Linked DNA regions of Notamacropus eugenii. The protein of the gene in region 3 purifies or fractionates together with the protein of the main gene of each other region. This does not show direct contact. Links are inferred from orthologs where the notes say so. Each region holds a gene or a part of one and is shown on either strand. Other genes may lie near its edges.

Region 1 (6,960 bases), on a different chromosome or scaffold from region 3:
AGCTATTCAATCAGCTCTGGATCCATCTAGCCCACATATCTCAATCACTTGCACAAGAATTGCATGAGGCACTTTATCAAATGCTTGGGTATAATCTAGGTAAAATGTATCTACCACATTTCCCTTTAACTACCAGGTGAGTAGACCTGTCACTAAAGGAAATAATGTTAGTGTTGCCTAACTTATTTGTAACAAAGGCATGCCAACTCTTTGTGATTACCAATGGGAATAACCATAGCACCTTATCTCCCAGGGTTGTTGTGAAGATCAAGTGAAAAGACATTTGTGAAAAATTTAGCACACTACCCGGCACTTAGTAAACACTATTATATTTTATATAATTTCACCAGAAATTGAAGTCAAGCTCACTGGCTTTGGAGGCTTCTAGTCTCTTCCATTAAAATTAAATTCAATTAAAAAAGTAAAATTGGGACATTTGCCCTTCTTCAATCCTGTGGTACCTCTCCCACTGTCCATGATGCTTTAAATATCAATGACAACGGTTCCACAGTCATATACCACCAATATTAGAAGTACCTAAATATATATACAGTAGTTCTTCTTTGCCAAGTGACTTGAATATATCAAGAGAAGCTAGGTGATTTCCCTACCATCTCCATATTTATCTTGGGTAGTTACTCTCTACTACCTCTTGTGCTCTACCCTTTACAATCCAAAGACGATTTCTCTTGGCCAGAAAAACAAAATAAAAATGGAAGAGCTCTGCACGAAACTGTGCTGACTGGGCCCATTACACATTTATATTATCAAATCTGGAGTTTACACTTCAGCAAGGAAAACATGTAACTCTTTCCTAACTCATGTTTCCTCATCTTCATGATTGTCCTCCCCTGAGTACATTCCAATTTTACTCAGTTCTTCTAAAAGTGGCTCCCAGAGATGAATAAAGTGCTTTAGATGTGGTTTGACCAGGGCAGAATGTAGCAAGATTATCCCTTTCCTTGTTTTGGATAGTGTGTGTGTGTGTGTGTGTGTGTGTGCGCATATGTGTGCATGCACACATATACACATGTATATATATATGTATATGTATATATATAAACATACACATACATACATTGTAGATAGCCAAATTATAAGATAGGAGCATCACTAAGAGAACTTAGAAAATATCACACATGAATATATTCTAGAACATCTGCTCTATTGAGTCCTTGCTGCTCCATCATGTCCACAGACCTCACTGAGTTCCTTCTCCTTGTTATTTCTATGCATTCTTTGTAATATGCAGAATATTACAACTGGTCCCCTCAAAGCAATAAACTAGCAGTCTTCTTTATGTCTGCTTTTCTTTAATATCTGTCAGATATTACGGAGTCAGCTTTAGAGCTAGAAAGAACTTTAGAGATCATCTAAAGATCATTTCACTCATTTTACAGGTGAGGAAACTGAGGCCCCAGGAAATTAAATAACTCACCTAAGGTATACAGACATCAGTGACAGAGCAGGCCAGATTTGAACCCAATTTTAGTGTTTTTTTTCTATTGCACTATTCTGCATTTTGAGAGTATGTTGTGCAGTTCTACCTGCTCTGTCTTCTACCTTTGTGCCTCATTGTTGTTTCTTTCCCCTAAGGGACATGCCTCCTACTCCTATGTCCCCTTGCCCGTTGAATTTGGTTAGTTCATAAATGTGTATGAACTCATGCAAATACACACACACACACACACACACACACACAATTTGTCTTATATTTGTCATAAGAAGGGGAATACATTTTGTAATCCCCTTTATCATCATTTATTGGCTACTATGAAAAGGTCTTAGCCTAAAAGGCCAAGGTCTCCCATTGCATCCTGGGCCATCTTTGGTCATCCTGATGAATATCTGGTCACTGGATCCAGATGGCTCAGGAGGAGAAAGTGAGGCTGGTGACCTTGCACAAGCCTCCCTCACTCAAAACAAAGTCAAGTGCAAGTCATCATTTTTCTGATATCATGGTCCTCTTCAAAAATGAAGGATGAACACAACCTGTGAGTAGGCCGAGCTGCCTAAAACGGGGACCCAGCTATCTGGGTAACCCCTTTCCTTCCCTTCCTTTACCTTCCTTCTTGTCTCCCCTAAAGCCTTGGACCTTATGTACTCTGAAGCCCATGGATTTAACAGTGAAGGGTCCCTGCCCAACCTCCACTCAATGGCTGACTTAGAGTGCAAGTCAATAGTAACAGTTTCTCTTCAAAACAACCACCCTGAGACTCCTGCCCCTCCCAGAGTGATTTATCTATTTATTTTCTTATTTCTATTAAAGGGGCCATCCTCCTGGCTACTTTTTAAAGACACCTATTCACTGAATGGGCATTACCTCACTTTAAGTGAGTACCTGGAAAGGCCTTAGCCTAAAAGACCAAGGTCTCCCATTGCATCCTGGGCCGTCTCCAGTCATCCAGATGGCTCAGGAGGAGAAAATGAGGCTGGTGACCTTGCATAGCCCTCCATCACTCAAAACAAAGTCAAGTGCAAGTCATCATCTGTCCGATGTCATGGTCCTCTTTGAAAACAAAGGATAAACAACTAACCAAGCTCTCTCACTCTCCACAGCAGTTGTTCCAAACCTTGTCTCTCCTTAAGCCTATGAACATGATCCTTCCCACCACCCTTTCAGTCAAGGACCTCACACCTCAAACTTTGAGATTCCCCCAAGCTGACATCATTTCAGCAGAGCTGTTCCTTCTCCTATCTTCCTCGTTTCATTACTCAGGCATCTTCCTCTACTATCCTTTCCTTCACTCTGGTTTCAGATCAAGAGATGGCCCCTTAAATTTCCCAAGACAAATCCTTCCACATGTATCCTTGCTCCTTTTCCCAACTTTTCCAACGAACAGCCCCTATCATCCCCATTCTCTCCAATCTTCAATCTTTCCCAATTTACTGACTCCCTGATAACTAAATATATGTGCCTATGTTTCTCTTATCCTTAAAACCCCTTCACTTGATCTGACCATCTCCTCTAGCCATCATGCTATATGTCTTCCTCACTTCATCTCTCAGATCCTTGAAAGAGCTATCTGTAACTAGTCTCTCCCTTTCCTCTCCTCTGACTCTCTTTTAAGCCCTCTGCAACCTAGCTTCCAACCTCAATTCAAACTGCTCCTTCCAAAATTACCACTGATTTCTTACTTGCCATATCTAATGGTCTCATCTCAAGTCCATTCATCTTAACCTCTCTGCACCATTTGACAAATCTTACTTCTCAGACATTATCTTCTTGATCAGCTGTTGGTTTCCTATATCAGTTTTCACTCTTTAGATTCTGACTTTTCAGAATCAATCCCAGCAATCTTGTCCCTCCATTTCAAAGATGAGATGCACACACGACTACCTATGGCTTTTAGGGGATGCTAACTTTAAGGGTAGTGAATGAGATGCTTTTTGATGAAATATCCTGCTTTAATTTCTCACAGAGAATACTAATCCATATCTGCACGCTAGAATGAAGGATCCAAGGGATTTTCTGAATCGCTAAAATAAAAGAAGCCAGAACTCAGTTCAGTCCAACTTCAACATGAAAGCAGGCTTCACTTTTATCTTCCCTCCCACAGACCACAATATAGAAGAGGAAGGGGAAACTCTGATTTTGAAAACAAATAAATCACAAAAATCCTCAGGTTTGCCTAGCAGGTCTGAACATGAAACAGTGCCCACCTCGGGCTGGTATATCTCCAAAAGAGACTTTTCTTGCTGTTCCTGTTATTTTCACTTTCAACCCCCAAACCAGGAAGTAAGTGTTGTTTAAAACCATCGAAATAAGCCAAGCAATCAAATCAGAACCAACCAAGATTAGGTTTGAGGCTGAAGTTTAAGACCCCTTCTTAATGGACTGGAACCAGCTCCCTTTTTTCCCATCGAAAGTCATCGCAATTTGCTTAGTTCTTGATCCATCGATTTGCCCAAACTTCCCAAAGACGGAGGAGGAGGGAGGGATCCACACAGTCCGATTTGCTTTTGTGTTGTTTTAACTCTTCAATCAGAGTTCCAACCCGTCATCAGAGTCCAAATGACAACTCTTTCCAGAAGGCCAAGCCAAGGTGGAATCCTAGAAAAGGTGCTAATTCTTGGAATGCCTAAGGAAGACCAGAGAATAGGAGGGCCACGCCCCGGTCCCGCTCCCTGCACAGTTACGAGATCGGTCCAGGCAAGTTGAAGAAAGAAACCCTAAGAGGCCGGCCTCCAGCCCTGCTGCCCCTCCTCTCCAAAAGTACAAAGAGCACTGGGCAGAAGAGGTTTGGGGGAGGGAGACAATTGGGTGAAGGCAGAAGAAGGGAGTGGATCAGCAGCATCGGACACCCTAGAAAGGACAGTGGCGGGGGTAGCTGCAGAAACTAGCGGGTGCAGGAAGGGGAGGGACTTGCTGGGGGTGAGGCCCCAGATTTGGCTCCAGGGCTCGATCGGAAAAGCTGCTTCACTGTTGCTTGTACTGCCCCTTTCCTCCCTTCTCTCTCTCCCCCTTCCTGCCCTCCAGTCACCGCTGCACCCTCTCTGAGATCTGCAGCTGTCACCATGTCTCAGCCGGGGAAAGGCAAGAGGCCCGCAGCCTCCCCCCGGCCCAAGCGGGCTGCCGCTGCCCGGGCAGCCGAAGGGGTAAGTGGCTTCTTAGACGTCCCACCCAGGAGGGGTGGGCAAGGTGGTAGAGAGTGGGGAGGGGGTCAACCACAGCCCTACAACCTCCGGACTCCTCCCTCGGCTTTGCCCAATCCGGCTTGCGGCCAGGACACCCTCTTGGGCAAAGGGTGGGGGTGCAGGAGGATGGGGACCGGGCGTGGCTCGAGTTGGAAGCAGATTCCTGGGACCCGACGGGACTGCGGGAGCCCGCTGGGCGTGGCGCGTGCCAGCCCAGGGAACTGAGAGGGTGGCTGGCGGAGGAAGCAGCTGAAAGTTAGCCACAGAGAAAAGGGCACCGTGGGCCAGGGGATAAAGGCGAAGTCGGCTTCCCTGGAGATGCCCAGAATGCTGTAACCGAGCCATTTCTGCCCTGTTCCATGCCTGTCACACCGCCCTTCCCCCCCCAAAATCCGAAGCTTCAGGGCGTGGCTGTCCCGGGAACAACACATCCTCCGGTCTCTCCAGTGTGGCCGAATCTGGCTGACGGGGCGGGGCCCACGGTGGACCCCGCCCAGTGCCTTGCCCTCCCACCTGGCAGCTGCTAGAAGAGCCAGGAGTGAAGTGCCAGCTGAAGCCAGGCGCAGGTGAAGACCTTAAGCCGGCGCGCCTTCACGCACACGCAGCTCCTCACTTAAGCCTGTCCTTCGCCCGGTTCAGGGGATTTAGCTGGGCTTGTCATGGCTTTTGCAAGCTGGTGGTACAAGACGGTAAATATGACATGGGGCTTTTGTCTTGGAGGGACAGGAAAGACGGGTGTGTTCACTTTGCTCTCCCAGACCTGTAGGGGAGACATTGACTATTTGGTGATCAGGAAGGGGTGGGGAGAGGATGCCACTGCTTCTCGGGACCTAAGGTTAAGCTTCAGAAAAGACTCACCCACTTGTGGTATTTGTGTGTGTGTATGTGTGTACATCTGGCTTGTGTGGCTGCTGCCTGCCCTCCAGACAGTCTGAATGAACCAGGCTGTAGAAGTGGAAGAATTCCCCCCTACAAACCTGGGAATTCCTGGTTTGAGAGAAGGTGGAGATTCACCTGATCTCAGATACAGGACAATGAAAACAAAACAAAACAAAAAAAACCAACTCTAGGTACTTTTGATTTAAGCGAAGGCGGGCATCCAGAAATCCAGGACCACCTCTTTTTATTTTATTTTACTTTTTAAGCCAGTAAATCAGGAGACCTCCAGGCAGTAGCACAAAATGTGAAATGGTTTGTGTGCAGGAAGGGATTGAAGGTGTTCCATTTCTTTAGTACTTCGTGAATATCTTTCCAGCTAATGAGCAAAATAATCAAGTTGATGCTTGCAAAGTTGTGGAACCAGGAACTGTGATTTAATACCGTATTGTGGGTTTTTTAAAATGTTGGCGCAAATGGGTTAGCTTGATTCAAGTTTTGTTGACAGCTTTGCTTCATGATAGACAGTTCAAAAAACTGGTTATGTGTGTACCTTATGGTTTTTCATGGTGAATACTTCCTATTCCATGTTTGCCAGTATAATATCCTCTTAAATATACTCAGTAGAAATTTGCTTTGGATAAAACTTCTCAATTCTTTTTCTAAGGCTCCGTTTAAAATGTTGAATAAATGATGTATAGCTAAGCATACCATAATTTAGACATGATAAAGCCAAAGTTAATATCATACTTTGCTTTTTGCTGAGTTATGATTTCCCAGGTAAATTATGCTGGAGTAATAAAATGAAACTGACTTAAATTTCTCAAATCTTTTTATTTTTTTTTTTAAGTTTAGTACTCCATCTAATCTCTTTGTAAAACCTATTATTGTATTCAATTTGGGGACTGTTCTGTATATTTTACCCTACTTGGAATATCTCTGAATTAGCTGTAGTAGCTAGAGTACTCTGCTGAAAAACCATTTGTTTCTTCCCCCTTGACACTTATTAGAGATTATTTCAAACACTTTTAGGTGAGTCCTTTCGTAGGAGAACATTGTTTAATAAAGTTCGGGGAAAAAATGTGAGTAGCCCAACTTTACATATCAGAATAAGTAAGATAAACTCATAGAATATGTAATCTAAGGAGTGTTTGTGTGTAGGAAGTGCTAGCTAGAAGAAATCAAGTGAAATTGTTTAAGATAAAATATTGGATCTCAAATTTCTACTAACTATAATGGCTAATATCAACAAAATTAGCAGTATATCAACCTTATATTTTGAAAAACTCTAATTTGGGGGATAGGGGACTGTTGGAAATGCTAACATTAAATTATATTTTCTTTGTAGTGATAATGCATAGACTAGTTTAAATTTAGTTTGTACCTATAATCATCCTCCAAAGTCATGAATTGCATTGATTATAGCAAGTTAATTAGAGGTGTTTA
Region 2 (7,656 bases), on a different chromosome or scaffold from region 3:
AGTGTGCCTGAACAAGGTGGTTTCAGAAGCAGCTGGGGATTAGGACAGGCCTTAGAAAGCTGAGCTCCCTAGGAACCTGGAACTGTTCATAATCGAAGAGAAAGGGGAGATGCTGCCTGGTCAGCTGCATGGACAATTTGTTCGAGTCACAGAGGTGGGTGGTGCAGGGGCTGCAGTGATAAATTGTGATTGAGAACCCCTGGAGATGAATACAGAGGGCAGGGACACAGTCTGGCATCTGTGTGATAGTTGAGAGCTTATTGAGGAGCCAGAGGAGGGGAGGGCAGGAAGTGACAGCCCCAGCTTCTCTGCAGAATGGGTCAGTCCCCCAGGCTAGAGAGACAGGAGCTGCTGTTGTGGCCCTGCCCTTAGCTGGGTCCTGAATGAGCTGCTTCTTGTGGGCAGGACTCACGGATTTCAAGCCTGGCTACTGGGTTGGCATCCGCTATGATGAACCGCTGGGGAAGCATGATGGCAGGTGAGGCGAGACACCCTGGGACTCTCTCTGTGAGTGTGTGTAGGAGAGTGTGTTTGTGTGTGTGAGTGTGGGTGTGTGTTTTTGTTAGTGGGTGTGATTGTGGGTATGAATGTGAGTGAATGTGTCCGGGTAGCCCTGTGACCTCTTTTAGTCTCTGTCATCTGCAGTGTGAACGGCAAACGCTACTTTGAGTGCCAGGACAAGTATGGTGCCTTTGTCAAGCCACACACGGTGACCGTAGGAGACTTCCCAGAGGAGGATTATGGACTGGACGATGATGAGATGTGACCCCCTGGTGGGGGTGGGGGGTTACACACTACTGGGGGGGTTGTCCCCTTGGATGCAGCCTCCCTTTCTCTTCCCCACCCTCCAGCCCGGGCCCCTCCCTCCTGTTTCGTGTCTGTGGTGTATTCTCTCTTGCCTTCCCTATTTTGAGTTGTATTTTTTATCTTATTTTCCCCTTGGCTCTTGTGAGGTTGTGAGACAAGTGAATTAAATGCCTCTGAATCCCTTGGAGGCAGCCTGGGTTCTTGAGGGCTAGGGAGAGGGCATTTCATTGCTGAAGATTGTGGGTGATCAGGGAGGGGAGCTTGGGGTAAGGGGGCCCTGAACAACTGGAGGAGCAGCAGTGAGTCTGACAGGGAGGCTGGCCTTCACTTTCCTCACATCTGGTCAGCCCCGAAGTGGCCTCTGACCTGCTGACTATCTGGGCTTTCAGAACAACTTTTTAGGGGTTTGTTTGGAAGCTATTTTGAAGAGGAGAGAGACTGGAGGCAGGTGGCTCATCTTTAGTGTGGATTTCTTGTTCTTCCATCATCTGCCTCTCCTGAAGGCCTTTCCTACAGCAGAATAAAAATGAAAACAAGTTAACCCATCAGCATCTGCAGCGTTCAACACCCATAATCCCCTAGCTGTGTAGAGAAGGGGGGGAGGTATATGCTCGCATCTCTTCTTTTGGGCCAAACTTGGTATCATTTTATACTGGGGAGATCTTAATAGAAAGCTGCTGAAATACAGCAGCTAGAGGGTGCCATAGTGCTGGGCCTGGAAGACTCTTCTCTCTGAGTTCAAATCCCACCTCAGACACTTAGCTGTGTGAGCCTGGGCAAGTCACTTCACCCTGGTTGCCTCCGTTTCTGATGAAGAGTGGGACCCAACTAAACAACAACAGTTGAGATAGAGGTAGCTCAGTTTGTAGGCAGGAAGTCTTGAGACTCAAGCCCTACCTCTTATACGTTAGGGCTTGGTGACCTTGGGCAGGTCCCATCAGGCCCTTAAAGTGACTAAAGGGTTCTAACTGCCTTACTGGGAGGTCTCCACGATGGTGAGGTGAGTGGTTTTTCTCCCCTCCCACCCCCATGTTAAAATAAAAGGTTTAAAACAGTGCAAGTGAGACCATGCTTTCCTTTTGTCATTCTTATCAGTTTGCTAAAGTTTAAAGGGAAGCCTTGGCATTATTTTGATTGGCATTTTTCTAATTCTTAGTAATTTGGAGCATTCTTTTATATCGTTAGTAATTGACAGTTCTTCTGAGAAATGTCCAGATTGCTTGCCCACATCTCTGTTGGAATTACTTTTGGCCTCTGATGTTTCTGTTAGGTTTTTACATAGTGTGGATATGAAACCCACATCAGAGATAGCAGACGCAGATTTTTTTTTTCTCCATAGTCGACTGCTTTCTCTCTTTGCATTAATTTTGTTCATGCAAAACTTTTTAATTTCAAGTAAGCAAAATTAACTCTTTTGTCATTTCCCTTATCCTTTGGTAAAGACGTTACCTCCTCCAAGTTACATAAAGCTCAAGCATGACTCCAGAACAGTTAAGGATGCTGCCGACGCACCCCTGCCCTTTGTGGAGCTGCGAGGACCACAGCTCTGCGCCCTGATGGTTAAAATATATTCCATGACTGTGCTTTTTCTTTTTTTGCTTTAAAAACCATTTGTTATGTGAGATGCTTGCAGGGAGGAGGAGGAATGCTAAAAGAAAGAGCCCACCCTTTATCCATATCTGTGCAAGGCATGTGATGAGCTTCTAGTTTTTTTAAAATTCTTTTAATCTCACCCTAATCAGTCAACTGGCATTGTTCCTCCTTCATTGCCGAAGACTACCATGTCATCAGAGAAATGATGACCTGACTTGCACTTGACTTTGTTTTGAGTGAGGGAGGGCTGTGCAGGTCACCAGCCTCACTTCTCCAGAGCCATCTGGGTCCAGTGACCGGATATTCATCAGGATGACTGGAGATGGCCCAGGATGCACTGGGAGACCTTGGCCTGACCTGTGCAGGTACTAAGTTAGGGTGAGGTAAAACTAATCAGGGCCTGTTCCCTTTAATGAGGCAAGGAAGAGGAAGACATCAGACTGGGAGGGAAACAGCAACACTTAACGTTGATAATCACTCTGAAGCCCGGAAGGTCCAGAAGAGAGCCTTTAGGCAGGGGCAGGAGCCCCATGGTGTCTGAGTTACGGAGTGCAGTAGGCTCAAGGTTCTAGGCTCAAGGTTCTGAGAAGGGTAGGGAAGGGAGGCTAGCCAGTAAGTAAAACCCAAGTCACCTGGGCATCTTTTGGCTATCCAAATTTACCTTCCTTTGGAGAAGAGAAGAAAGGGGGGAGGGGAAGGCAGACAGGAGAGGAGGGGTTGAGTTACCCAGCTAGCTGGGTCCCCATTCAGCCAGCTGGGTCTGCTCATAGGATTGTGTCTGTGCTTCGTTGCTGAAGCAGACCATGCCATCAGAGAAATGGTGATGTGACTTGCACTTATCTTTGTTCTGAGCGAGGAAGGGCTGTGCAGATCACCAGCCTCACTTCTCCAGAGCCATCATCTGTGGCATAGTGGAGATGGGATGTTCAGGAGTCGTCAAGACCTGTGTTCCAGAGCTCTCCAGCCTCTCGGTGCCTCTAGGCACTAAATTGCAAAGGGTTCGCTGGAGAACTAGTGGTGGGAATGCTTTCATCTGGGAGCTCCCTACTTCAAGGAAATGGCAGGTCTAGCTCCACTCCTTTGGGCGTTTACATTCCGGTCACATGTTCATTTTGAATTTATTGTGGAGTATGGTCTGTCATGTTGGTCTAAACCTCATTTCTGCCAGACTTCAGTTTTCCCACTAGTTTTTAAGAGAGTCTTTTCCGAGGTTACGCTTTCAGACGTCGATGGACTTCGCAGCATTGTAGATGGCTCAGGCTTTATCAGTCTCTGCTAAGAGCCAGGCTTTGTCCTGGGACGATACCGGGGAAACCCAAGGATCCTGTTTGTCAGCCTTGGCAGCGGGGCTTGGAATGTAGCAGACGCTTCACAAATGCTTGTTGCCGTTCCATTGCGAACGATCGATCCCTCCGCACAAGTCTACGTTCTGATGGGGGACAAGGGGAAAGGCATGGGTCCTGAGTGAGGCACCTCAGGGGGTGGCCGGACCTCGGGGGGCACAAGCGTCCAGAGAGGATGGACAGGGAGGTGGGGGCCGGGGGATCCAGGGCTTCGGAGGTGAAACCAGCCTTGGACGTGGCCCAGGGGCAGCGGGGAGCCCGGGGCTGTGGACCGCGGTGGTCTCACGCAATGGGACGGGCAGGACTGGAGGAGTCGTGAGGAGAGCGGGGCGAGCCCGGAGTAGGGAGGCCCCTGCTCCCATTGCCCCCTTCAGGAGGGGGCATTACCGTCATCACTGGCCTCCGACCAGGACACGGCCCCGGGGGGGGGGGTCCCCACTTCCGCGTCTCGGGCCGGTCCCGGGGACTGAGGAATGAACCAGGCCCCGACTTCCGGGGGCGGGGACAGAACGGGGACCGAGGAATCACCCACGCCCCGAGGGGGGCCGTTTCCTCTGCCCTCCTCCCTCAGCTAGACTGGGCCGGTCCAGCGGCTATGCCCTCCCCCGGCCGCACCTCCGGGGACCCAGGAGTCCCCCACCCCCTCGCGTGTTCCGCCCCGCGTGGGGCCCGAGAGCGTTTTCCGAGTCACTGGCTGGGGGGAGGCGGGGATGGGACTCTTAAAGGCGCAGGCACGCCCTCGCCCCGCGTCTCTCCGGGACCCCGCAGGGCGGGAGGGCTGGGCCCGGTTCCAGGGAGCAGCTGGTGGGCGGGGCGCCCGGGTCCCGTTATGCAGCGGGAAGGGGAGGGGCGGCACCGGACAGTCTGCGAGACGGGCTTTAGGACCACGCGGACGCCCGGGGAAGGCACATCGCCTCGGGCGGGGCCACCCCTGAGTCACCCCGGCCCCGCCCGACCGTCCTGTAGCCGGACCGAGAGGAGTCGAGCAAGGAGGGTAGGAGGCCAGACCGCGGCTGGGGAAACTGAGGCCGAGATCAGGGTGAGAGCGCCCCCCGCCCCAAGTCCGGGCTCCCCAACCCCGCTCGAGTCTCCCCCAGCCTGGCCTTGAGTCCCCCTGAACCCCGGCTTCAGTGCCCCCTCCCCTCGTGCTTCCTGACCCCCCTACTTGGGCACGAGCAAGAGACCCTAAGGATCCCCCACACCCGCGGAGCACCCTAACAACCCAGGACCCCTAGCCTTGACTCCCGGAAGCCAGCCCCGGCCTCCCCTGAATCTCAGTATCCCCAAACCGTGCCCCAGTACCCACCCTCCTCGGGACCATCAGGAGCGGGGCCCCCGACTCCCCCTGACCCCCCGCCCCATAGCTGACCGCGGCCGGCGTCCTGACTCTGGCCCCCAGGTCCCGGAGACATGTTCCTGGTTAATTCATTCCTGGGCGGGAAGGGCGGCGGCGGCGGGGGCGCAGGCAGAGCTCTCGGGGGGCTGCTCAGCGGCGGCGGCGGCGGTGCTGGAGGCATCGGCAATGTCATCGGGGGGCTACTTAGCGGAGGCGGTGGCGGCGGCGGTGGCGGCGGCGGAGGAGCTGGGGGTGCCATGGGGTTCCTAGGCGGTGTCATCAGCGCCATCAGGTGAGCGGGGGCTGGGGGAGCTCAGCCTGGGGGGCCCTGGAACACTGGGGGCCTCGGACATGGGGAGGTCCTGGGATGTGGGGAGCCCTGAGACACGGTGGGGCTGGGATATGAGGAGCCCGAGACATGAGGGGACCTGCGATACGGGGACCCTCAAACATGGGGAACCCCGGGACATGTAGTGGGGTCCACTGTTCCGTGAGAGGTCTGGAGACTGGGCCGGAGCGCGGTGGTGAATAAGCATGAGCCATCTTAGCCAGCGGCAGTAGAGTCATGGCAGGTATGTGGCAGAGGAGGGGTCGCCCCACCTGGCTCCGTATACCTTGTGAGGATCCCCGGGTTTGTGGGCTCCAGTCACAGCCCAGCTCAGCAGAGCCACGACCTCCCATTAATGAGGGGGGGGTGGGACTCCATGGTCTTAATGTTGAAAAGAACCTGACACTTATCGGTGTGTTGGGATCTCTGGAAGGGGCCTCACTAGCCCACTTCTTCATCACTCATTTTACAGTTGAGGAAACTGAGGGCTCACAGAGTCACACTGCATCAATCAGAGGGAACCCAGGATCGCGCAGTGTCGCAGGAGGTGGGGACGGGGCATGGACAGGACTCGGGGCTGGTGGACTAAATCACCCCTCCTGCGGGGAGCCTGGAAAGATACACAGCTTAGATAAAATGGGAACTCAGCTAGAGTCTGGTAGGAGCCTGAGACACCGAGGGTCAGCCCGACACATTCCAGGGGGTCTTGTGGGGTCTAAAGAGCATTCTCTCTTTGGGAAGCAGCTTGGTTCAGAGGAACAGGGTTCCCGCTCTGCCTCTGAAATTTCATTTGTGTGATTTGCGGCGTCTTGTCTCTTCTCCAGGCCTTAATTTCCTTTTCTGTAAAAGGGGCCCGGACTAGGTGATCTCCTAGGCCCATTCCAGCCACATATCTATGGTTCTGTAATTGGAGACTCCGAACTTGCATAACAGAGGGTGGGTAGGGGCTGAGCAGCTGGGGCTGGGGGCGGTCCCCAGATGGGGTCAGAGCTCAGGAGTCCAGGAGGGGGAGGGGGCAAAAAACAGTCATGGCTGGAGAATAGAGCTGGTGGAAAGGAGTCTTGAGTCAAGTCTGGGAAGGTGAGGATTTGGAGGCAGCTGGGAGCTGATGATGGTTTTTGAGCCTGGGGAGTAAATCCAGGAAGCATCTTGCCCTGTCCCCATTCGGTTTTATCCGTTTCCTTTTGGGCAGTCCCTACTGAACCGGGTCTGCCTGGGGCAGAAGACTTGGGGGGAGGACCAGGGGGTACCATCTGTACCTGAAAAGGTACTCTGTACCTTCCCAAGGCTGTAGTCCCCAGGGCAGAGCAAGTCAGAGTGGTCATTTAGGGAGGAGCCAGGGAGAAGAAGGGGGTCTTGGGGGTCAGCTGCTAGTGGGCAGTAGGGATGGAGGACAGAAATGCAGCCGGGGAGATACCGAGTCAAAAGGCAGAGAATGCTGGGTTACCCTATCTGGGTGAACACTAGTCCAAGGGAAGGGCTTTCTAAGACTGGGAAGACAGGATACTGGTGATGGAGCAAGCTCTCCCCTGGGTTTCAGAGAATCCTGGTCCTCCTCTTGGGTCTGCCCAGCCGTCTCTTTGCATCCTTTGGTCCCTGTTGCAATTTTGGATGAGGGCAGGCTTTATCTAAACCCAGCAGGAAAATGTGACTTGTTGGGGACAGGGGCTATTTCTTTCCATATTGATATGTTTTGCCCAGAATAGATGTTTAATTGAATGCCCAGATGTATGGGTAAGAGATACTTCTGTCCACAGTGGAAGTGGGTGGGTGGAGGAAGAGGAGAGACACACTGTCTGGGGATAATTTTGAGCTTTGAGCTGTAGATTAAAAGAAGGATGATAAGTAGCCCTGGCCCTAAGAGGGGGTTCAGAACCGGGAGCCATTTTAGGGGAAAGGAAAAGCTTGATTTGGGATTTATTGAGATGGAAGGAAGAAATAGAAGAAAAACATTTATTAAATGTTATCTGAGTGCCAAGCACTGTGCCAGGCCCTGCCCCCACTCAACTGTAAGTCACAGGGGGCCTTAGGTGTACTTGTAAGTCAGATGTTGGAGGTGGATCTGGACATGACCCAGGAGGACCAAGGAGGTCACGGGGGTCTGCGGGGTAAGGGAGGAGTAAGCGTGGTATCAAAGGACCAGCAGACCACCTTGGGGGATGGTTAGAGGACCTGCCTGGGAGGCAGGAGGATCCAAGTGTTCAAATACTGCCTCTGATCTTTTCTCACCAAGCTCACCTAAGGCAGGC
Region 3 (8,092 bases):
AGCCCAGGGAATAAGAAGAAGGGGGGAAGGTATCATCCTCAAAAAGGACCCCAGACCGCAGGCACTGGGCCCGTAGCTGCTCATAGTCCTGGCCCTGGTACTTAATGGCTTTCTCATGGCAGCCCAGGCCTAGCTCCTTGGCCCGCTGCTTCTGCAGTTGGGCAGACACCCCCGTACAGTATACAGGGGTGATGATCTCTTCTGTCATCCTGGGGAGGCAAGAGAAGGAGGAACAAGAGTCCAGGCCTGCTCCCCTCTCAGAGTTTTGAGCCTGGAGTTTTGAGCCTCCCCTAACCCCATCTCCCACCCACCCCCACTACTCCTTCAGAACTCCAGCCTCAGTCTCCCACTCCCAATCTCTGGGCTGCCTTCTCAGAACTCATGGGTCCTAGAAGGCCTCAACTCACCTCCTCTCCCTATCATCAAGATGTTTAACCCTTAACAGTCAAAACTCAAAGGTGCTTTCCATCCCCAGCCCTAGTTCCTTTTCAGAACCCAGGGATCCTAGTTCCCAGCTCACCTGTCCAGCCCCATCTTCAAGATTCGCTCCAGAATTTTGTCATCCTTGTCCCTCAAACCCTACCTCCCTCACATATCTCCCCATCTCAAGATGTCCAACTCCTCACTCCCTTCACTCCAGCCCCATGAGAGGATTGAGGACTAGGAGAGAATTAGAGAGATCGGCCCCTCCGAGCACCGAGCACCGTAATTCACAGGAGACAGAGCCACAGAAGAAAAAGGACTTTGCTGAGGTCACACAAGGAGAAGGAGTAGAAGCCAAGTCTTCTTAATCCAAATTCAGAGCTCCTCTTATTCCATTGCCCACTCCCTGCTTGGCACCCCAGACCACCACCCTCAGGACAGCCATCTTTTCAAGCAGCAAGCCTGGGGCTCCTGGGTGTCAGCCCCATGCTTGAGATATCCAACCCCTCCCACTCCAAACCCCAGCATCTGAACTCTATTTTAGCCACCTCTCCCCCAGAGCCTAGAGCCCCAACAGCAAGCCCAACTATGTCCCTTCTCAGAACTGGGGCTTGGGGGGAAGGTCTGGCCCCTGAGTCACCTCCCTCCCCATTATTTTCTGAAGCTTAGTGTCCTGCCCCAACCTCAAGTCCCCTCCCTTATCCAGAGGTCGTACCCCGCCCCACCCCCCAGTCAGACAAGAGCATCAAGAGGGAGACCCAGAGAAGGAAAGCACTTGCCCAGTGTCACACAAGACATAATTATAGAGCAGGGGTAGAATTTGAACCCAGATCTTCTGACTTCAAATTTAACTCTGTGCCATCTCCCATATTATGTGGGATTTTTTTTCCTCCCCTTCTCTTAGAACCGAGTCTCAGGCTTCTAATAGTGACCTGATGGGCTGGGTGGAATGGGATATTAGACAAGATTGGAATAGTGGGAGTGGGGGACAGATGAAAGCTTCTCTGGAGGCCCTACTTCCACTTCCTCATCACCCCCAATCCAGCGAGCTGCCTGCAGACAACATTGTCCCTTTTCCCTTTGCAGCTGGTCTACAGCACTCTGGCCTGAGACCTGGCCTTAAGGCCGGGCATCAGAGGACTCCAGGTTCCCAGGACTGGAATCTGGACCACACCCAAGCTCTTCCCTCTGCTCAGAGAGCCCCACCAAAGGAGGGGAAACTCTAACTGGCTGCACTGACTCCACCACCCCCCCCCCCAACTGAGAAGATGGGGATGCCTGGGTCCCAAAGCCAATCCGAAGTCCCAGAGGGTGACCTGGGACACCTGTCTCGAAAACTCGATCCCAACCCCTGTGCCTGAATTCGGGTGGCTCAGGGAAGCCTGAAGCCCTCTTACCTCGGCCTGGGTCTGATCGGTGCCCGTCAATCCGTCCGTCCGTCCTTCGGTCCGTCGGGGCTGCCTTCCCTGGCCACTCCGGAAGGGTCTCAGCTCCGGCTCGGTTTGTTCACTGGTAGGGCCCAACAAGGAAGAATCTGGTCCCCGCCCTGCCCGCCTACCCCAAAGCCTCGGAGCCTTACTGGTCCCCTCCCACTGCCTCTCTCCTCCCACTGCCTCCTCCCCAGCTGACTCGGGTTTTCTCTGACGGCTGGTGCTGAGGTCAGGCACCAGACGCAGTCTCTTGGGGGCCCTCCCCAGGCTGGGGCTTGGGGCCAGCAGAGGGAGAAGACAAGGTTGGGACTGGGGAAAGGGGAATAGGCTGAGCCGCTGGGGCAGAGGCAGGACTTGGGGCTGAAGGGTATTGCCAGCTGACCAGGGAGCGGGAAGCGGGGTGCGGTATTTTTAACCAGCGAGCAGCTCGGGTTACAGGGCTGGGCAGGCGCCGCCCTGCTGCTGCAGCCCCCCCACCCAACTCTGTCCAGATGAGGGTTCCCCATTTCATCCCTCTCGTCCCTCCCTTGGCCAGGCTTGGACGCCCCCTCCCCACCCCCACCATGCCAAGATAAGGGCTCCCTAATTCCTTGTCCCTCCATATCCCGCCTTCCCGCCCCTCCCTTAGCCAGGTTCGGATGCCCCCAGGTTCCCCATAGCTGATCCGGCTGCCCACGCCGGCCCAGCGGAGCAGGGCTGAGATTACATTACCTTGGGCTCTAACCGCGGCTGCAGAGACAAGGGCAGCAGCAGACGCTCCCGGGGCGGGGAGAGGGGGGAGGTGCTCGAAGTGTGGTTACCTCCCCTTCGAGGCGGCCCCCTCCCGCCCCTGTTTGGGACGGCTCCCCCTCCCCCTTCCCCTTCCCTGCGCTGCAGTGCCCTGGCCTTGGACGCCTCCGCAGGCTGCGCGCCCCCTCTGCAGGACAGTCGGAAGACTGGACAGCTCCGCTCCACCTCCCCCCTTTCGCATCGGGGCGATCGTGGGGGGTTGCTTTCAGAAGCAATCAGGTCCTGCCCTCCAGCAGCTCCCACTTTACTACAGGAAGCCGTGTGGGAAATGGGGGCGTTGGTCTAGAGGGTCTCTGAGGTCCATCTAAGGTTCTATGCGTGATCCTGAGACACTTACCCTCTCTGGGCCTCAGTTTCTCCATCTGTAAAATTCCAGCACTGGACTGGAGGACCCCTGATGACCGTTCCAGCACTAGACCTAGGATCTACTATGTAGATATATACAAAATTTTAAGATCAAGGTCCATTCCAACAGACATTTTTATAAAGTAACTACTACCATGTACAAGACAAAGCAGAGTTAAATAGGGAAACAAAGACAAAGTGAAAAACAAGAGTTTACATTCTGAGCACCTACTGTATGCCAACAGCACTTTCTTAAGTGTATAGAGAGCCAGGCCTAGAGTCAGGAAGACTCATCTTGCTGAATTCAAATATGACCTCAGACACTTACTAGCTGTGTGACCCTGGGCAAGTCACTTCACCCTCTTTGCCTCAGTTTCCTCATCTGTAAAATGAGCTGGAAAAGGAAATGGCGAACCACTCCAGTATCTTTGCCAAGAAAACCCCAAATGGAATCATGGAGAGTCGAACGCAATGGAAATGACTCAACCACAAAAATATGCTGGAGAGTTTCATAATCTAGAAGATTAACATCAGATGATTTATAAACAAAGCATCTCAAACTCTAGGGTTAGCCACCTTGAGCACAGTGCTGGAGAGCAGGTCCCCACGGGCCAGCTCTATTCCCTGTCCCCCCAAACTGGGCCTTTCAGTTGGCCCCATCAGAAGTGTAACCTGCTGTGACACCTAGTACTGCAAATGAATGATGAAAAGCATTTATCAAGCACTTACTAAACAGAGCAGTCGATAGAGTGCAAGTCACTTTATTTGTTTGTCTGTTTCCTCAACTGAAAAAAATAGAGATTACAGCCCCTATTTCCCACAGCTGCAGTGACACTCAAATCAGATAGTACTTGTAAAGTGCTTGGCACCTTGCAGGCATTTAATCAGTGCTTGCTTCTGTCAGGTACGAATACCCCTTCCTTGTAATCCTTAAGGTGCTATGAAAATCAAAGCAATCATCAAAACATCTCAGGCCTCTCCAAAGCTTCCCGAGTTAGGCCTGGGTTAATACAGGAGCTTCTTAACAAACCTCCCTCTGATTTATCCCTTCCCCCAAATCCATCCTTGTCAAGAACCTTAAGTGGGCACTTAATAATTGCTTGCTTGATTCACAGTAGTTGCTAAATAAATGCTTGTTTCATTGCCACCCTGTACCACCACCAAATCTTAGAGCTAGAAGAGGTTAGCAGTGATAATATTTAATATAAATTTTGGACTTTAATAAGGGCCAAAGTTTGAATTAAGAAGAGCCTGGACCTAATAGTCTCCTTTGTTTAACTTAGAGGACACCTTTTGATGTCAGGCAAACAAATGGGACTTCCCTTACCAGACCCTTCTTCTGGCATCTTAGCGATAAGGAAAAACCCAGATATCTTGGGTTGTAACTTCAGCTTTGTCAGCTCTGTTAAGATACCACAACTTCAAAGGCCTGGATATCTGTCATCACAGTGGTGAGACTTTCTCCTTATCTTAAGTCACAGAGACATGCTACAGAAAGGAGATTCCCACACTTGGGATCATAAAACCCAATTGACACTATTTTGTTAATTGTCTTACCAAATTTACAATGTGTTTATCTAAGAGAGCTGCTTTCTCATGGTAAAAGGTACTTAAGACAGTCAACTTCTGTACTGAGGGAGCCAGTTCTGATCCTGGCTCCATAACACTATATAACCATTATCTTTATGGGGAATTGATTAATTAATTAAATCATAAAATGTATGCATTTAGCCTGTTGCCTTTTCTCTAACCAAGTTTTCAGGTTAACAGCAGATACCAACTAGTCTAACTGATGCCTAGAACTGGAACTCAGATTCTGGGCAGCTTGAGTTCAAATCCTGCTTGAGCATTTTCTAACTGGATGACCTCTCTATATCTCAGATCTCTCCTTAGTAAAATGGGCATAATAATAGCAGCGGCCTCACAGGGTGGTTGTAAGGATCACAAAGTCTTTTCTATTTGCATATGGTTTGCATTATTTTGCATATATTCATTTGCATATTGGCTCCCCCACTAGATTGTAAACTCCTTGAGGGCAGGCACTGTCTTTTGCCTCTTTTTGTACCACCAGAACTTAGCACAGTGCCTGGCACATAGTAGGTGCTTAATAAATCTTTATTGCTTGATTACTGATCAAATGAGGGAGCCTACATAAAGCATTTGTAATCATTAAAGCACCACTGAAGTGCTAATTATTACTCAGAGGCAACATCTTATAGATAGAGAGCTGGCCTTGGAGTCAGAAAAACCTGGGGTTTATATCCCACTTCTGGTACTAATGACTGTGTGACCCTGGGCCAGTGACTTCCAATCTCTAAGCAGCTCTCCAAGACTTGCCTTGGTGGAGGGAATGTACTAATGTGCTGCTTGTAGTTCAGTCCTTTCAGTCATGTTCAATTCTTCATGACTCCAGTTGGGGTTTTCTTGGCAGAGAATCTGGAGCCGTTTGTGATTGCCATATCCAACCCTATACTAACAGGGCAGCTAGGATAGAGAGAGCTAGGCATTGCATCGGAAAGACTCCTTTTCCTGAATTCAAATCTTACTTATTGTAACAGCCAGCACCCTGACACCTCCAGGATGGCCTGCTAGCACAGGTTCTTAGATCAGCTTTTCTAAAAGCAATCTTTGAGGGCTCAATGATCTTCTTTAATCATATATACCAACAGAGAAAATACAAGCTGAGAAATATAAAGACCAACAGACAGGGCTTCCAACTGTCTGACCATAAGCAATACATATGTCACAGATCAACAGACAGATCCAACTGTCTAACCATTACATATATACCAGAGAGAGAAGCACCAACATCTGGCCATTATGTGGTGGGCGTGAGAGAAGGAGAGGGAGGAGTGGAGGATATTCCTAAAGCGGTGAATCTAGTGACTGGGAGGATGGTGGTACCTGAGACAATAATAGGTAAGTCTGGAAGAGGGGAGGGTTTGAGGAAGGGAGAGAGACAATGGGCTTTGTTTTGGATATGCTGAATTTGAGTTGCCTCTGGGACTTCAGCTTGAAAAGTCCAAGATGCTACATACCTCCATCCAAGCTGACATTGAGCCATTAGTGAGTCAACAAGCAATGATTAAGTACCTGCTATGTACTGGGCAATGGTGCTAAGCCTGGGGGTTCAAATAAAGGCAAAAGTCAAGCTGGTCCTCCTGGAGATTATATTCTAATGTAAATAACTAGGTATATCCATGATAAATACACAGAGTAGAAGAAAGGTGTTCTGGGGGCAAGGCACTATGGAAACCAAGAAAGATCTTCCTCAGAAGGTAGGATGTACACTGTCTGAAGGAAGCCAGTGAAGCTAAGACAAAGAAATGAGAGGGGCAGAGTATGGGAGATAGCCACTGCAAAGGGACACAGTCAGGAAATGGAGCATCATAGTCAGAGAACATGTTGCTGAATCATAGAGTATGTGGAAAGGAGGAAGGTACTAGGAGACTGGAAAGGGAGGAAAGGACCAATCTGTGAAAAGCTTTCACTTGAAGGCAGAGGGGTTGGTGATTGATCCTGGACATACAGGGAACTACTGGAGCTCATTGACCAGAAGGGATGGACATGGCCAGAACGTGGCTAAGCACTAGAGATACTAAAAAAGGCAAAAGTTGTTTCTTCCCTACAGGGCTGTCTGATTGGGGAGATGATATGCAGACAAACATGTGCAAAGTGAGATATATACAGGATAAACAGAAAATGATTCAAAGAGAAAAGGCACTAGAATTAAGAGGAGTTGGAGAAGGCTTCTGGCAGAAGGTGAGTTGAGACTTGAAGCCAGAGAAAATCATTTTGATGGCTGAGTCAAAGGGGACTGGAGTCGGGGGTGACTTGGGTCCAGGAGTCCAGGTTATAAGGTGTATCAATAGTCCCAGAGCAGGTGATGAGGAGCTGATGACTGAGAGAGTGAAAAGAAAGGGATGTATAGGAAAGATGTTGTAATAGTAGAAGTATCACTATTTGGCAGCTACTGGGACATATGGGTTAAGTACAAGTGAAAAGTCCAGTATGACTCTCAGGGGCTGGGAGGATGACAGTGCCCTCAATAGTAATAGGGAGGCTGGCAGGGTTTGAGGCAAAAGTATGATGAGTGCTGTTAGGGATGGGTCATGTTTAGGAGGTCTACAGGACATCCAGTTAAGAGTTGTCAGAAAGACAATATAGGTGATTGAGAGTGTCAGAGGCTGCAAAGAGTCAGGATAGAGAAAAAGTCATTGGATTGGGCAATGAGGAAATCTTTGGTAACTATGGAGAGGGCAGTTTCAGTTGAAAGAAGTCGGAAGTCATTGCAGAATTTAGAAGAGAATGAGGAGAGAGGAAGTGGAGAAGGCAGTGAGTGTAGACAGCTTTCTCAAGGAAGGTGGTAGGGATCAAGTGAAGAATTTGTGATCATATTTGAAGGCAGAAGCTAAGGGGCCAGTAGAGAGAGAGGACTGAAGATTAATGAGAAACTGGGGGTGAGAGAGGGATGAATATGCTGGAGAGGTTGGGAGGGGATATAATAAGAGGCCCTGGCACCTCTTTATTGGTAACCAGAGTAAAGGAGGTAGTGAGGAAAACTGTTGGAATAAGGTATGATAAAAAAGAGAAAGGGCGAGCTGTCCTTACCTGTCCCCAACTTTAAGACCTTAATTTAGAAAGGCCAAGGTCACCCATTGCATCCTGGGGCATTGCCACTTTGGTCTTGCCACTAGACTTTGACAACTTCTGGTGGAGAGTGAGGCTGATGACTTAATCCAATTCATGACCAAGTCAAAATAAGGCACTTGTGAAGTCATTGGTCTCCATCAAATCAGGGAAGTAGAAAGCAAGATTCTCAGCTGAAAGGGTGAGGGAAGGGAAGGGTGGGAGGACTGAGGAGAGGGGGGATTTTTGGAACCTCTGGGAGAGGAAGATAGTAAATCAATTGGAAAAGAATAGAATGTTTGCCCTGTGGCCCATTAACATTAGATAAGTTTGTAGTAGAGGCATCTTGCTTTCCTCCATTCACCAGCATGTGAACAGGAACAAAAGAGGCAAATGGAGGGGAGTCCAAGACTGGGGAGCTGGTCAGCTGCGACCAGTTCTAGGACAAGGGGACAATGGTTATATGTTATTGTTGT

What was found.
Region 1: the proteins of CAPN1 (region 3) and CAST purify together in Homo sapiens (co-immunoprecipitation; 4 studies listed by BioGRID and IntAct, counting the BioPlex papers as one, with this or other methods). This does not show direct contact. The link is inferred for Notamacropus eugenii from reciprocal best matches to the Homo sapiens genes CAPN1 and CAST.
Region 2: the proteins of CAPN1 (region 3) and CAPNS1 purify together in Homo sapiens (co-immunoprecipitation; 4 studies listed by BioGRID and IntAct, counting the BioPlex papers as one, with this or other methods). This does not show direct contact. The link is inferred for Notamacropus eugenii from reciprocal best matches to the Homo sapiens genes CAPN1 and CAPNS1.

The regions. Positions count from the first base shown.
Region 1 is NC_092875.1:442,073,004-442,079,963, reverse strand, and holds the start of CAST (calpastatin), read left to right. Parts: upstream 1-3,882; 5' UTR 3,883-4,518; coding exon 4,519-4,599; intron 4,600-5,144; exon of another isoform or gene 5,145-5,297; coding exon of another isoform or gene 5,298-5,327; intron 5,328-6,960.
Region 2 is NC_092876.1:33,187,528-33,195,183, forward strand, and holds the start of CAPNS1 (calpain small subunit 1), read left to right. Parts: upstream 1-4,652; 5' UTR 4,653-4,782; intron 4,783-5,142; 5' UTR 5,143-5,153; coding exon 5,154-5,371; intron 5,372-6,145; exon of another isoform or gene 6,146-6,343; intron 6,344-7,656. Other genes in the region: TBCB (tubulin-folding cofactor B), read left to right, coding at 406-478, 646-766. UniProt on the Homo sapiens protein: Regulatory subunit of the calcium-regulated non-lysosomal thiol-protease which catalyzes limited proteolysis of substrates involved in cytoskeletal remodeling and signal transduction. Essential for embryonic development.
Region 3 is NC_092873.1:17,891,197-17,899,288, reverse strand, and holds the start of CAPN1 (calpain-1 catalytic subunit), read right to left. Parts: upstream 3,071-8,092; 5' UTR 2,980-3,070; intron 2,669-2,979; exon of another isoform or gene 2,565-2,668; intron 1,933-2,564; 5' UTR 1,821-1,932; intron 210-1,820; 5' UTR 209-209; coding exon 1-208. UniProt on the Homo sapiens protein: Calcium-regulated non-lysosomal thiol-protease which catalyzes limited proteolysis of substrates involved in cytoskeletal remodeling and signal transduction. Proteolytically cleaves CTBP1 at 'Asn-375', 'Gly-387' and 'His-409'.